Danio rerio: one gene and its partners. The protein of the gene in region 1 interacts with the protein of each later gene in a biochemical or structural test. Links are inferred from orthologs where the notes say so. Each region holds a gene or a part of one and is shown on either strand. Other genes may lie near its edges. The genes, in order: msh4, mlh3 and msh5.

The links.
Region 2: the proteins of msh4 (region 1) and mlh3 form a complex in vitro, tested with the Homo sapiens proteins (2 studies listed by BioGRID). The link is inferred for Danio rerio from reciprocal best matches to the Homo sapiens genes MSH4 and MLH3.
Region 3: the proteins of msh4 (region 1) and msh5 form a complex in vitro, tested with the Homo sapiens proteins (2 studies listed by BioGRID). The link is inferred for Danio rerio from reciprocal best matches to the Homo sapiens genes MSH4 and MSH5.

Annotation. Positions count from the first base shown.
Region 1 is NC_133192.1:48,891,856-48,895,515, reverse strand, and holds part of msh4 (mutS protein homolog 4), read right to left. Parts: intron 2,252-3,660; coding exon 2,187-2,251; intron 1,421-2,186; coding exon 1,251-1,420; intron 324-1,250; coding exon 187-323; intron 1-186. UniProt on the Homo sapiens protein: Involved in meiotic recombination. Required for reciprocal recombination and proper segregation of homologous chromosomes at meiosis.
Region 2 is NC_133198.1:27,533,935-27,537,594, reverse strand, and holds part of mlh3 (DNA mismatch repair protein Mlh3), read right to left. Parts: coding exon 3,600-3,660; intron 3,519-3,599; coding exon 3,442-3,518; intron 2,801-3,441; coding exon 2,696-2,800; intron 1,321-2,695; coding exon 1,236-1,320; intron 1,163-1,235; coding exon 1,094-1,162; intron 709-1,093; coding exon 600-708; intron 466-599; coding exon 306-465; intron 228-305; coding exon 204-227; intron 79-203; coding exon 1-78. UniProt on the Homo sapiens protein: Probably involved in the repair of mismatches in DNA.
Region 3 is NC_133190.1:42,658,795-42,662,454, forward strand, and holds part of msh5 (mutS protein homolog 5), read right to left. Parts: coding exon 3,584-3,660; intron 2,226-3,583; coding exon 2,145-2,225; intron 1,750-2,144; coding exon 1,662-1,749; intron 1,255-1,661; coding exon 1,068-1,254; intron 971-1,067; coding exon 844-970; intron 1-843.

The DNA of each region.
Region 1 (3,660 bases):
TTTGCTGGAAAGAATGAGAAACTGGTTTTATGATGTGCACAAATTACTTATTGTTTTGAGAAATGCATTAACTGTTGTGCAAATGTAAATATTGTTGTCAGAAATACACCGAAGCAATTGAAAAAAACTGTACAGTATATATAATATATTGAACACTTATTAAGGATTGTAAAGACTTTGGCTCACTTTGATGAACTCGTCTGGTAATTTCCCACCAGGCAAGGCTCCCCCCTCCAGCTTCATCTGAATAAAAAAGCCACGTGCATTGCTGAAACTTGTCCGGAGCGGAAGGTTGTGCTTCTCTCCAAGCTGAGCCACTAATCCTGATCAGCACAACACAACAATAATGCTGAAGTTCATAAATAACATGTTGTCAACAGGCTGGAATATGAAAAGTTTTACTATATAAACCGCAAAACTTATTGTGGCATTTGGCAAACCAGGTCATCATGAAAGTAGTTTTGAATCAGATTTTTCCTTACTAATAGTTATGTGTAAATAGCAGACCGATTCATGATAAGCTGGTGGTCATTCAGATTATTAGTGACAATAGTGTAATTTAAACAACCCTTTTTGAGAGATGAAAATGCTGATTATATGGTTCTGACTGTGACTCAATGTGTTTTGGCTGGAAATTATATTTGCAACCTACAACACATGATGAAGTAGGAAGATCAGGGGGAGGAGTCAGAGTCAGCAAGTTTTACTTTAATAAAAGTTCTTCTTTCTTCAATTTTTCCCTTTTAATGAGTAAATGAAATCTTGCATGTCTTAAGCGTGAACTTGCGTAGTTTCTTGTATCACTTCTCCTTTATGTTATTATGAAATGTTTGTAGACCAGGCAGAGATATCAGTAATACTTCCTCCTACCTTGGAAAATTGTGCAATCTGGAGTAGTTAAAGCTGATGAATTGCCATTTAAAAGGATAGTTTACCCAAAAATAAAAAAGTATCTCACCATTTACTTGAACAAAAAAGAGGTTATTTTAAAAATGCTGGTTGATGGTACCCACTGAGTTCCATTGTAGAAAAACAATTAATATGGAAGTCAATGTTCAAAATAACATCTTCAACAGAAGAGTGAAACTGAAACTGGTTTTTGGTAGAGATTTCATTTTTTGGTGAACTATCCCTTCAACAATAACCTGCACATCCATTCACCTAATACACACAATTGAACATGTACACATGTATAGACATCACCTACATATTATGTAACTGTACACATAAGTGTACTTTAGAGGGCTCACCTGCAATGTCATCTACCACCTCGGTGTAAGCTCTTCGTGCAATGTCCAGAAATTCACTGACGTTGGGTCGCACAGCGTAGCACTTCTGCGTGCGCATGGTCAAACTGCCTTTCATGTAGCTGGTGTCATCATTAATCAGAGATTTGATATGATCCAGAATGCTGTTAAACCTAAATCAACACGAATAAGAAACAATAAACATGGTGGACTGTATACATACTGTACAGTTGAATTCTTAGCCCCCTGAATCTTTAGCCCCCCTATATATTTTTCCCCCAATTTCTGCTGAACAGAAAGAACAAATTTCTAAACATAATACGTTTAATAACTAATTTCTAATAACTGGATTCTTTTACATTTGCCATGATGACAGTAAATAATATTTTACTATATCTTTCAAGACACTGGTATTTAGCTTAAAGTGACATTTAAAGGCTTAGCTAGGTTAATTAGGCAAGTTAAAGTTAATTAGGCAAGTCATTGTATAATGATGGTTTGTTCTGTAGAAATTAAAAAAAGATTTAGCTTAAAGGGGCTAATAATTTTACCTTAAAATGGTTTTAAGAAATTTAAAACTGCTTAGTTCCAGTTAAAATAAAACAAATAAGACTTTCTCTAGAAGAAAAAATATTATAGGAAATACTGTGAAAAATTCCCTAATCTGTTAAACATCATTTGGGAAATATTTGAAAAAGAAATACTCACAGAATATTCTCATAATTTTGACTTTAACTGTATATGAAAGTATGAGCTGTTTTATTTCTATATGCACAATCCTATGTCCACTGTTTTATTTCTATGTACAAAACATTCTTATTATCTCTGCTTACAGAGCAAGCTGATGCTTCATATTAAACTAACATGGTCAGTGCGGATGTGTGCAGATTTGCAAATACTGTATATACTTCACAGAGCTGACAGCATGAATATGATTACCTGCAGTCTTCAAGTGATTTACAGTACGCTGTCAGCAAGTGCGTTGTAGAATGTTGCAGCATCACCTAATCAAGGAGAAATGTAATTACTGTTATGTGGTATCCTTGCAGCTGTGCCTTTTTTTAGGCTTTCTCGAGCAAGTCAGAAAATACAATCAGTAAATAACTGTAACACTGATATTGTTACAAAGCTTATGCTATTTTTAAAATCATGATTTTCCAAAATAACAAAAACAATAGTAAATCAGGTCAGTTAAAAGTCCCATGAAATTAAAATTAATTTCATTTCTTAAAATTTTTTAGATGTTAAAATTAGTATTGTTAGTGTTTAGGATATCTATTAGCTAGTGTGCTCCAAAACAATGACAAAATTCATGTTTAAAAGATATAACTGCTATAAACTTGTAAAGCTTGTCATTTGTCACATCCGCCTAAATGGATAAATGTTTTTTTTCACGTCACCTCAGTTTCTCATCAAATCTTGACCAATCAAATGCTCTGACATGCCCCGCCCCTTCAAGACGCTTTACAATCTTACAACTTTTACGATCTATGCGCAAAGTCTAAAGCGCAGGGCTCAAAACCATTAAGGGCGTTTCTGAATCCTCTTTTGCTAATTTAAGGACGGAAAAATACGCTCTGCACTGCAGATCATGGTCTAACCGGGTTGTGCTTATTCTCTTAATGAGATATGGGTGTATTTTGAGAATAAACCAATCAGAGTCTCCTCTCCTATTCCCTTCAAGAGTCAGTTGCGTTGCACCATGGTGCATTTGCTATCTACATGGCGGACTTTGTAAGTGGAAAAAAGCGCATTCTGATTTCCAGCAAATGAATAAACAAGCAATAACAATGAAGTGTGGTCAAAAAACTAGTTATATCCAAACACACGTCCTACGCCCCATATGGTCCAAAACCTAACAGGTGGACAAATCTAAGTTTGTTTTTAATAAAACAAATATAAATATGCATATAATAAATAATATTACTAGTAATAATAATAACATTATACTAAAAGCAAGTTGTCGTGAATTAACTGAAAAATGCCCCCGAGAGGAGGTAGTGGTTTTTATATTTATGTAGAAAGTGACCATTTTTGTAATATTTTAATCTTTTAATTCTTTTTCAATTGTGAAGATATTTGCGTATTGTTTTAAGCAATACGTATGCGTCTAATGAGCACAACTAACACGCTCTGCGCTGGACTTTAACCCTGCTTTGTATAGCAATGGATTTGCTATTTAAACAATGTGGTGGAAAACAACAATAGCACAGGGTGTATGATAGGGCCATTCGTGTTTCAGTTGAGATTACGTCAAACACTGAATAAAAATGCACATTTCAAAGCACTTCACGGGACCTTTAATGTTGAATTTACATTATTGGCAGTTGAAAATATAGTAAAAACAAATGAGTCATTAGTCAGGTCATGGATTTATGTGTAACTGTTGTTTGATAAAATTGATCAAAAATGT
Region 2 (3,660 bases), on another chromosome or scaffold:
ATGACAAGCCTGAGAGGCAAGCACATTATGTACTGTCAGAGGCAGAATTCCTCTCACTCTTCCTGTTGAGCGAAGAAGCTGCAAACACAAGTCAAAAGAACAAAATTGGTCATAAATATATACTTCAAGCTCCAAAACCATACAATTTATAGTATTTTGTTCAAAGAAAGATATAAAAATCACATCTCTACATGGCAGCTCACCTCAATGTGTTCTCGCAGATAGTCCTGCGGGATAAAACACACAGTATATGACTCTAAACTGAACTTAAATCAGTTAAAAAACTAATAAGAACTGAGCCTGACCTCTGCAATGGTTTTAATTACCGAGCGCCTTCCACGGCGGAGCTCTGTGCTTTCTTTCTCTATGAAACATGCGGGCAGACTCTCCAAAAACACACTCAGTGACTCACTTTTCGGAAACCTCACATCTAACGCAAGACCTCTCAAGAAACCCTGACAAGACCTTGAAGAACAAAAGAAAGATTTATGACACCATTTTGTTTGGGCGAGGGTGCAGAACTAATTGAGCACACATGTACATTTCAAAAAGGAGACGACGGTGGATTCAGGAATGCTGACTCAAACAGCTGCACTGACCTCAAAAGTCTCAATTCCTCCTCGGTTACATTAATCTCCAAAGGTGGGGTTACACGTGAGGAACACAGCCTCTTTTTTCCAGGTGTGTCTGGGTCATCCTCGTAAGAGTCTATTAAAAAAAAACAAGCAGTGTTTGTAAAAATATATTGAATACTTTGATGTATCTCACCTGATGTGTATTAGACTTTTTAATGCTTTTATATGAACTTCATTTTGTTTTTATATTCTTATAAGCTAAGTTTGGGGTCTAAAGGTTATTAATGTTTTTGAAAAAATCTCTTATGCTAATAAAAGCATCTACAGTAAAACAGTATTTTTTTAAATAACTGTATTTAATACATTTAATGTCATTTGATTCGAGGACTGTTAAGCAAAAGTTTCAACTCCTTCTGAAAACAATTTAATATGATTATTTGGTGCTATTAACTATTATCTAATATATAAAATGTCTTTTTATGTAGTACTTTTTATCTACTTCTATCACTATCATTTACCTGCTATTAAACCCTCTAGTCGAACTCTTTCATGGGCAGCATGTTGATCAACCAGCACTAGAAGATTCCCTGCCAGGAGAAGCAATGACAAAAGTTTAGATTTATATAATCATTTAACATTGTGATTTTCAGCCCACAATACCTTCATCCGTACTGCTTTCAGAGGTGTTCTGCCCTGCTGTATTTATCAAACAAGCAAGAAACTTCTTGTCTACTTGATTGATGACCTAAGGGTAAAACAGAAAGCAATTTTACATTCATTTTAAAGGAAAGTCCTATTTGTGACAGTAGCTGGGTTAAATCATCCTGATTTAATGTCCATTTTAAAGAATTACAGAAGAAACAAGTGATGGATCCTTTCAAAATACAATAAATAAATAATTTTAAACTCAGTAAATTCACAAAAGCTTTTCTGCTCATTAGAGGTGGTGCAAAAAAAAGTATGTGAATAATGCGAAATGGAAATTAATTTGCTGAATAATCTCTAGCATAGCAGACATCACACTCACATGACCAATCACCTGTCTCCATTATGCTAAAGTCCCTTTAAGGCAAGTCATTTCACTAAGCTGCCATCTTTGAAACACCTCTCAGGCAGCATGCTCGGGCAGTCTGTCTGAATAGGGAAACATTTATTTCTCCAAAAGCTATTTGCCAAGCTTACGGTTGAATTTCATAATAGGAATCACCAATGAAATTAAACAACACCTGTGTCTTTAGTTTCACTTCTAAGCGTTCAAATCACACAAAATCTGCAGAAACTCGCGTCTGGTCTAAGCCCCTCCCCCGGAGTATCATCAGTCTATAGCGATCAATGATTGATTCCTGTACTAGAAGGGCGGGCTTTATTTGCAATATTGATCGTTACACTTTTCCGCATTTAAAAAGATACGAGTGCCATGTCTTGTGTATTCTATAGTCTTTAAACATGCATGCCTTGTTTACAGTTGGTTACTAGGTTACCAATACTACAGTCAGCCACTCTAACGACTTAAAGGCATACTTCACATTTTTTTTTAAAAACTAAATGCTTAGTGTACAGCTCCCCTAAAGTTAAACCGTAGAGTTGAATAGTCAGACTTAATACACGACGCAACTACAGAAGAGTCAGGCTTTAAATGAAAACATTATTTGATTCGACCAATTGTTTGAATAATTTTACCACATTAGGATGAATACCTGGCTATGGTCAGTAAGTGTCAGATTCACAAGTTCTAAAAAGAGAAGATAGTGTTGTGATTTTCGGGTCTCTTCAAAGCAGAATCCTTTGGCGTTAATCGAAAAAAAAACTCTTAACTACTGCAGCTTACGCGCAGTTAAATACACAATTTAGTGGGCAGTGCTTATTAGTAAAAAAAGAAACTGCCATTACAGGTTTAGTAAAGAAATCTTGCTTTCAGGGCCTTGCCTGAAAGTATCACCCAGCCATTTGTTAGACAAAAGACACAGCTGGGCCTGGAACTGACAATATGCATCACTATGGAGACATAATGCTGTATGCTTTACTTAGGATCAATTATACTGTCAAAATGCATCTTAAAATGTGAAAACATAGTTTATATATTTAAAGAAATGTGTAATCTTTCAATAGGCAATACTTACTCTCATTGTGTGGATCATATTCTTGGTAAAACGGTAGGGGAAAAGAATATTGTGGATTTTTACAGCAAGACCCTCTGCTTGGCCGCTGGTTACATCAACAGCAACCTTATCAAAATAAACAACAGAACACATGAGTAAGGTTGCTTAGAATAATTTGTAAGGTAACACTTTACCAAAAGGTCTTGTTAGTAAATAAATAATAGTGAAACTATTTATAAACACACTAGGGTTGTACGGTTTACTGGTACTTTGGTAGCACCGCGATACTATGGCTCCAAAATACTGGCGGTGCCGCTGAAGTATGTAAACAATACTTTGGTAATTACATTTGTGCCAAAAATAATTAATAGACCACTTTATTTTACTTTTACTTGAACTGTCTGCATACGAGTCGTAGTTTGGTGCTGTCATGACAGATCATACGGCGTGATCAATGATTTATATATTTAATTATTATTATTATTGTAATATCAACAAAAGAGTGACAGTGTATACAAAAATAAACAGAGAAAGTGTGTACAAATAATACATTTTCAATAATAAGGGAATTCTGAATTGAATTTAAGCGTTATGACATATACTGTAAAATATAGTATTTCTAACTGATTTGAGTAATGAATTACTGCAGTATCGATACTACAGTACTACTTGATATTGTCATACTTTAGCTGGTATAGTGTCTTGGTCTGAATTGATGGTATCATGACAACCCTAATACACACACTATTTTACTCAGTACTTTTTACCTCTGGTGGTCGTATAAACACAGGGTTGTGCCATTCTGAGAATAAAGTCGACAGTGAATCGGGAGCTTGGGCATCCTCTTAAAGAGTAACAAAAAAAACAATTAGTTAAAGTGCACCGAAAAGCTGATTTCAGGCCTTATGTCAGTCTAGAGCTGTACCTCTGCTGTCTGTCCCTGAGTTAAAGGCTCTTTCTGCTCTGGGCTTGGGCAGAAAGGGAAG
Region 3 (3,660 bases), on another chromosome or scaffold:
ATCTTCTTTAGTGTTCAGCACAATAAATAAACTCTAAAGGTTTGAAACTAAAGGTTTGGTGAGTAGATCATGAGTAAAGTTTCAGTTTGGGTGAACTATCCCTTTATAACATGCTTTAGCTCAGCTATTTAAAAGAAATCTGCTTTGAATTAACCCTATTACAAAAATATTACACTGCAAAAACATATTCAAACACATATTCTTAGTAAGAGATTTGTCTCGTTTCTAGTACAAATATCTCTAAAAAGAAACATTTTCAAGATTTGTTTAAAAAAAAAACATTTGTCTTGTTTTAGGACATAAAACAACCAAAATAATCAGCCAATAGATTAAGCAAATAAAATAAAATAAAATAAAATAAAATAAAATAAAATAAAATAAAATTAAATAAAATTAAATAAAATTAAATTAAATTAAATTAAATTAAATTAAATTAAATTAAATTAAATTAAATTAAATTAAATTAAAACAAGTACATTTTCCTTTTTGGTTAAATTATTTTAAGATATTTGGACTACAAGCAACACAAAACCTCAAAGTAAGAAAATATTTTTTTCAGTGTAGGCCCATAACTCTACAGATGCCCTTTTGCAATCAAAGGTTCAATGACACAATGGATTAAACAGTTGACTGAATTGCCCTTTTATTTATATGGCAGGAACTATTGGCCATATGGTGTGTTGCACTTTCCCCCATTCAAAGTACTACGAGCAAAATGTCTTGGTATAAACAGTCTTTGCTTTGAATATTCTGAAAAAATATCTATATGTATGTCTATAGTATCTAACTATGTTTAATGCACAGTGTTAAATGAATGTCTCTAATGTTTCTAGTTGTGTTTGCCTGTTTCAGAAAGATGCTCTTTCCCGAGGAATTTGGCCCCGTAATAACTTTCACTTTGCCTTCCGTTTCAGAGCTGATGTAGGTGTTTGACACAAATACTGAAGTGCACAACTCCAGCAAAGGATGTCTGAAAGTGAAACAATGGACAAGATAGAGATTTTTTTATAAACAGAAGAAGAAGAAAAAAGTAATATTCCTGTACAGTAATTCGATGAGAATTGTACCGAGACTCGATCAGGGCCAGTCTGTGCTCTGTTGTCAGTATTGGACAGCAGTAGCCGTGTTCCCGAGAGGCCTGAGCGAGAGCAATGAGACAGTCCAGCTCTGCACACAGAGACATGACCTTATACATACAGTCACTCCGCTGAAGCACTGAGGCCTGAAGTTTTCTCATTACCGCCATCTCCAAATCTGGAACACAAACACCATTTTACCATTATACCATTTTAAAAAACACAGTAAAGGATTTTGTGCAGTAAATGTATTCATGATCCATACTTTTGCATACAATTTTTTGCAAATTACACAGTATTTAACTGTAATACGAACTGCATTTTACTGTAGGACAGTTATGCAGTATGTTACTGTATTTTGAAATTGCATTGTGGAAATTACTGTATATTTTATAATAAATAAATACAATACTGAAAATGCATATACAGCAAGATAAATTGTGTTATAAATGTAAATACAATATTTTTGTTGTAATTGATTTACAGTAAGTTACTGGCAAACTGCTGCCAGTAGGTTACTTTAGATTCAACAAGAAATTGTTAGGAGTGTACAAGCAAACAAGAATGCATGCAAGAAAGAAAGACCTAGGATGTCACAATGCAGGTCTCCCAGCATGCTGTCCAGCTCTTTGGTCCGAGTGCTGCGATAATGCAGTTGGTCCTTTGACAGAAACTGAAATAATCCACAAACAAACTCAAAAATGTTCTTCAACCAAACCCTCAAGCTTTAATAAGTCAAATATAAAAAGGCCTGGAGTATTTACTCAGCATGTGCATATTAGATTTCTGTGATAAGACCAATTAAGCCCAGTTCTTTTGAAAGGAAACTGTATCTTTAATCTTAAACAGTAATTAGATTGCATGCAAGGGCCAAAATTAGCAAGACACACATAAGAGTGAAATTAAAAGCAAAATGTAGCCTGATTGGAGTATGAACATATGTCATTTAAGCTAAATGAAATGCTGTATAAAATGTATACACACTTTGGGTTACCAGTTTAAACCAAAACCAAAAACTGAGCAACTGAATACTGTGTTGCCTTGTAACAAAGATTCTGGCATACTCACAATGAAATCAAGACCAGCAATCTCAAAGCTCTGTTTATCCAGCATACTGGGCAATCTTGGCACAGTCAGTAAAAATCCAATCTGTCATCCAAAGCGGTACAAAATACAAAAATGTTATCATGTGTATATATATATATATATACACACATAAACATATAACAGTTCTTTCTGGTTCTCAAATCTGATTGGCTGATAGCCGTGCTATATTCTGCAATATGCAATATCAGAACTCGTACAGCCTCCTCACCCTTCTGTATTACTCTGCCCACATAGAATGACGACTGATCAATAAACTAACTACAGTTTGACAAATGTTGCTGCTGTTGGAAAACATAATTTACCTTTGAGGCGAGAATGTAGCTGTTTAGATTGCAACTATGTAGTTTATTTATAAGGATAATGCCTATTTTAAATATTTATAATTTCTGAGATACAGTGCGTCAGCATTCATCAGCCTGTCATTGAGCAGAGCAAAGATGCTTTTTTGTCCATCCACAAGATGGCGACAAAGACCACATAATAATTACATTCTAAGTTGATTTCTCTCTCTTTTATGTTACAGTGCTGTATTTATAGTACCAGAGTAATTGTAGTGTATTGAGTGTGAGATAAGACTCACATATCAGGAATGTATATATTTTGTGTTGGCCACTCTTTAGACTTTACGCTACAGAATCATTTAAATACTAGCTCTAAAGTGACGTTGGTGAAGTAGCAATGGATTCTAATGCTCTAAAGTTTTTCTAGAAATAAACCCAGCAACTACATAAGAAAGTATGAATAAACGATGGTTATATCGTTGCCATACTTTGTACATGGTACATGCACATTTCCTACTAAAATTCCATGACTTTCAGTAAATATTCATGACATATTCATTCAATATTGATGTCTATGTTTCTATATTGCAAAACTTTTTCAGTCTTTTAAATTTGCAATTTGTTTAATCAGCCCAAAATGTCTAGAGATATCACACCTGTAGCATGAATTTGGACTTGCTGTTTGCATGAACCAAGAAACAAGAATGACTATAAAAGTTTATGGGAAACCTGTTTGGGAACAATCATAATTTTAGTATATTTGTTTGGTGGCACCAATTTGTTTTACTTCAGTTACAACCTTATTTTGCTATTGAATCAAACTGCACTGCTTGCTGCTTTTGCTAACCCAGATGTCACAGTCATTAGTGCAGCCGTTGCAGCTGCTTGTCATTTAGTAACACTGCAGTATACTAATTACAGGAACATCCGTCCTGGGGCAAGATGAGGGTCAAATGGCCTGCTCAGGGGCGCAATGGCAACCTCGGTGACTCTTCATTTATTGGGTCAATTCAACATGGAATTAAACCCCTCAACCTTTATGCTAACAGCTTCAGTGTCAACAATTAGGTTAAACATCACACTGTAATGAATGGAAAACAGCCTTAATTATGTCCTGACCAGAGGCATGTAGATGACACTGCAGGTGGAGAAACGAGGATCCAGGTTTTCCAGCTCAGCACGAGCCACGTCCGTCA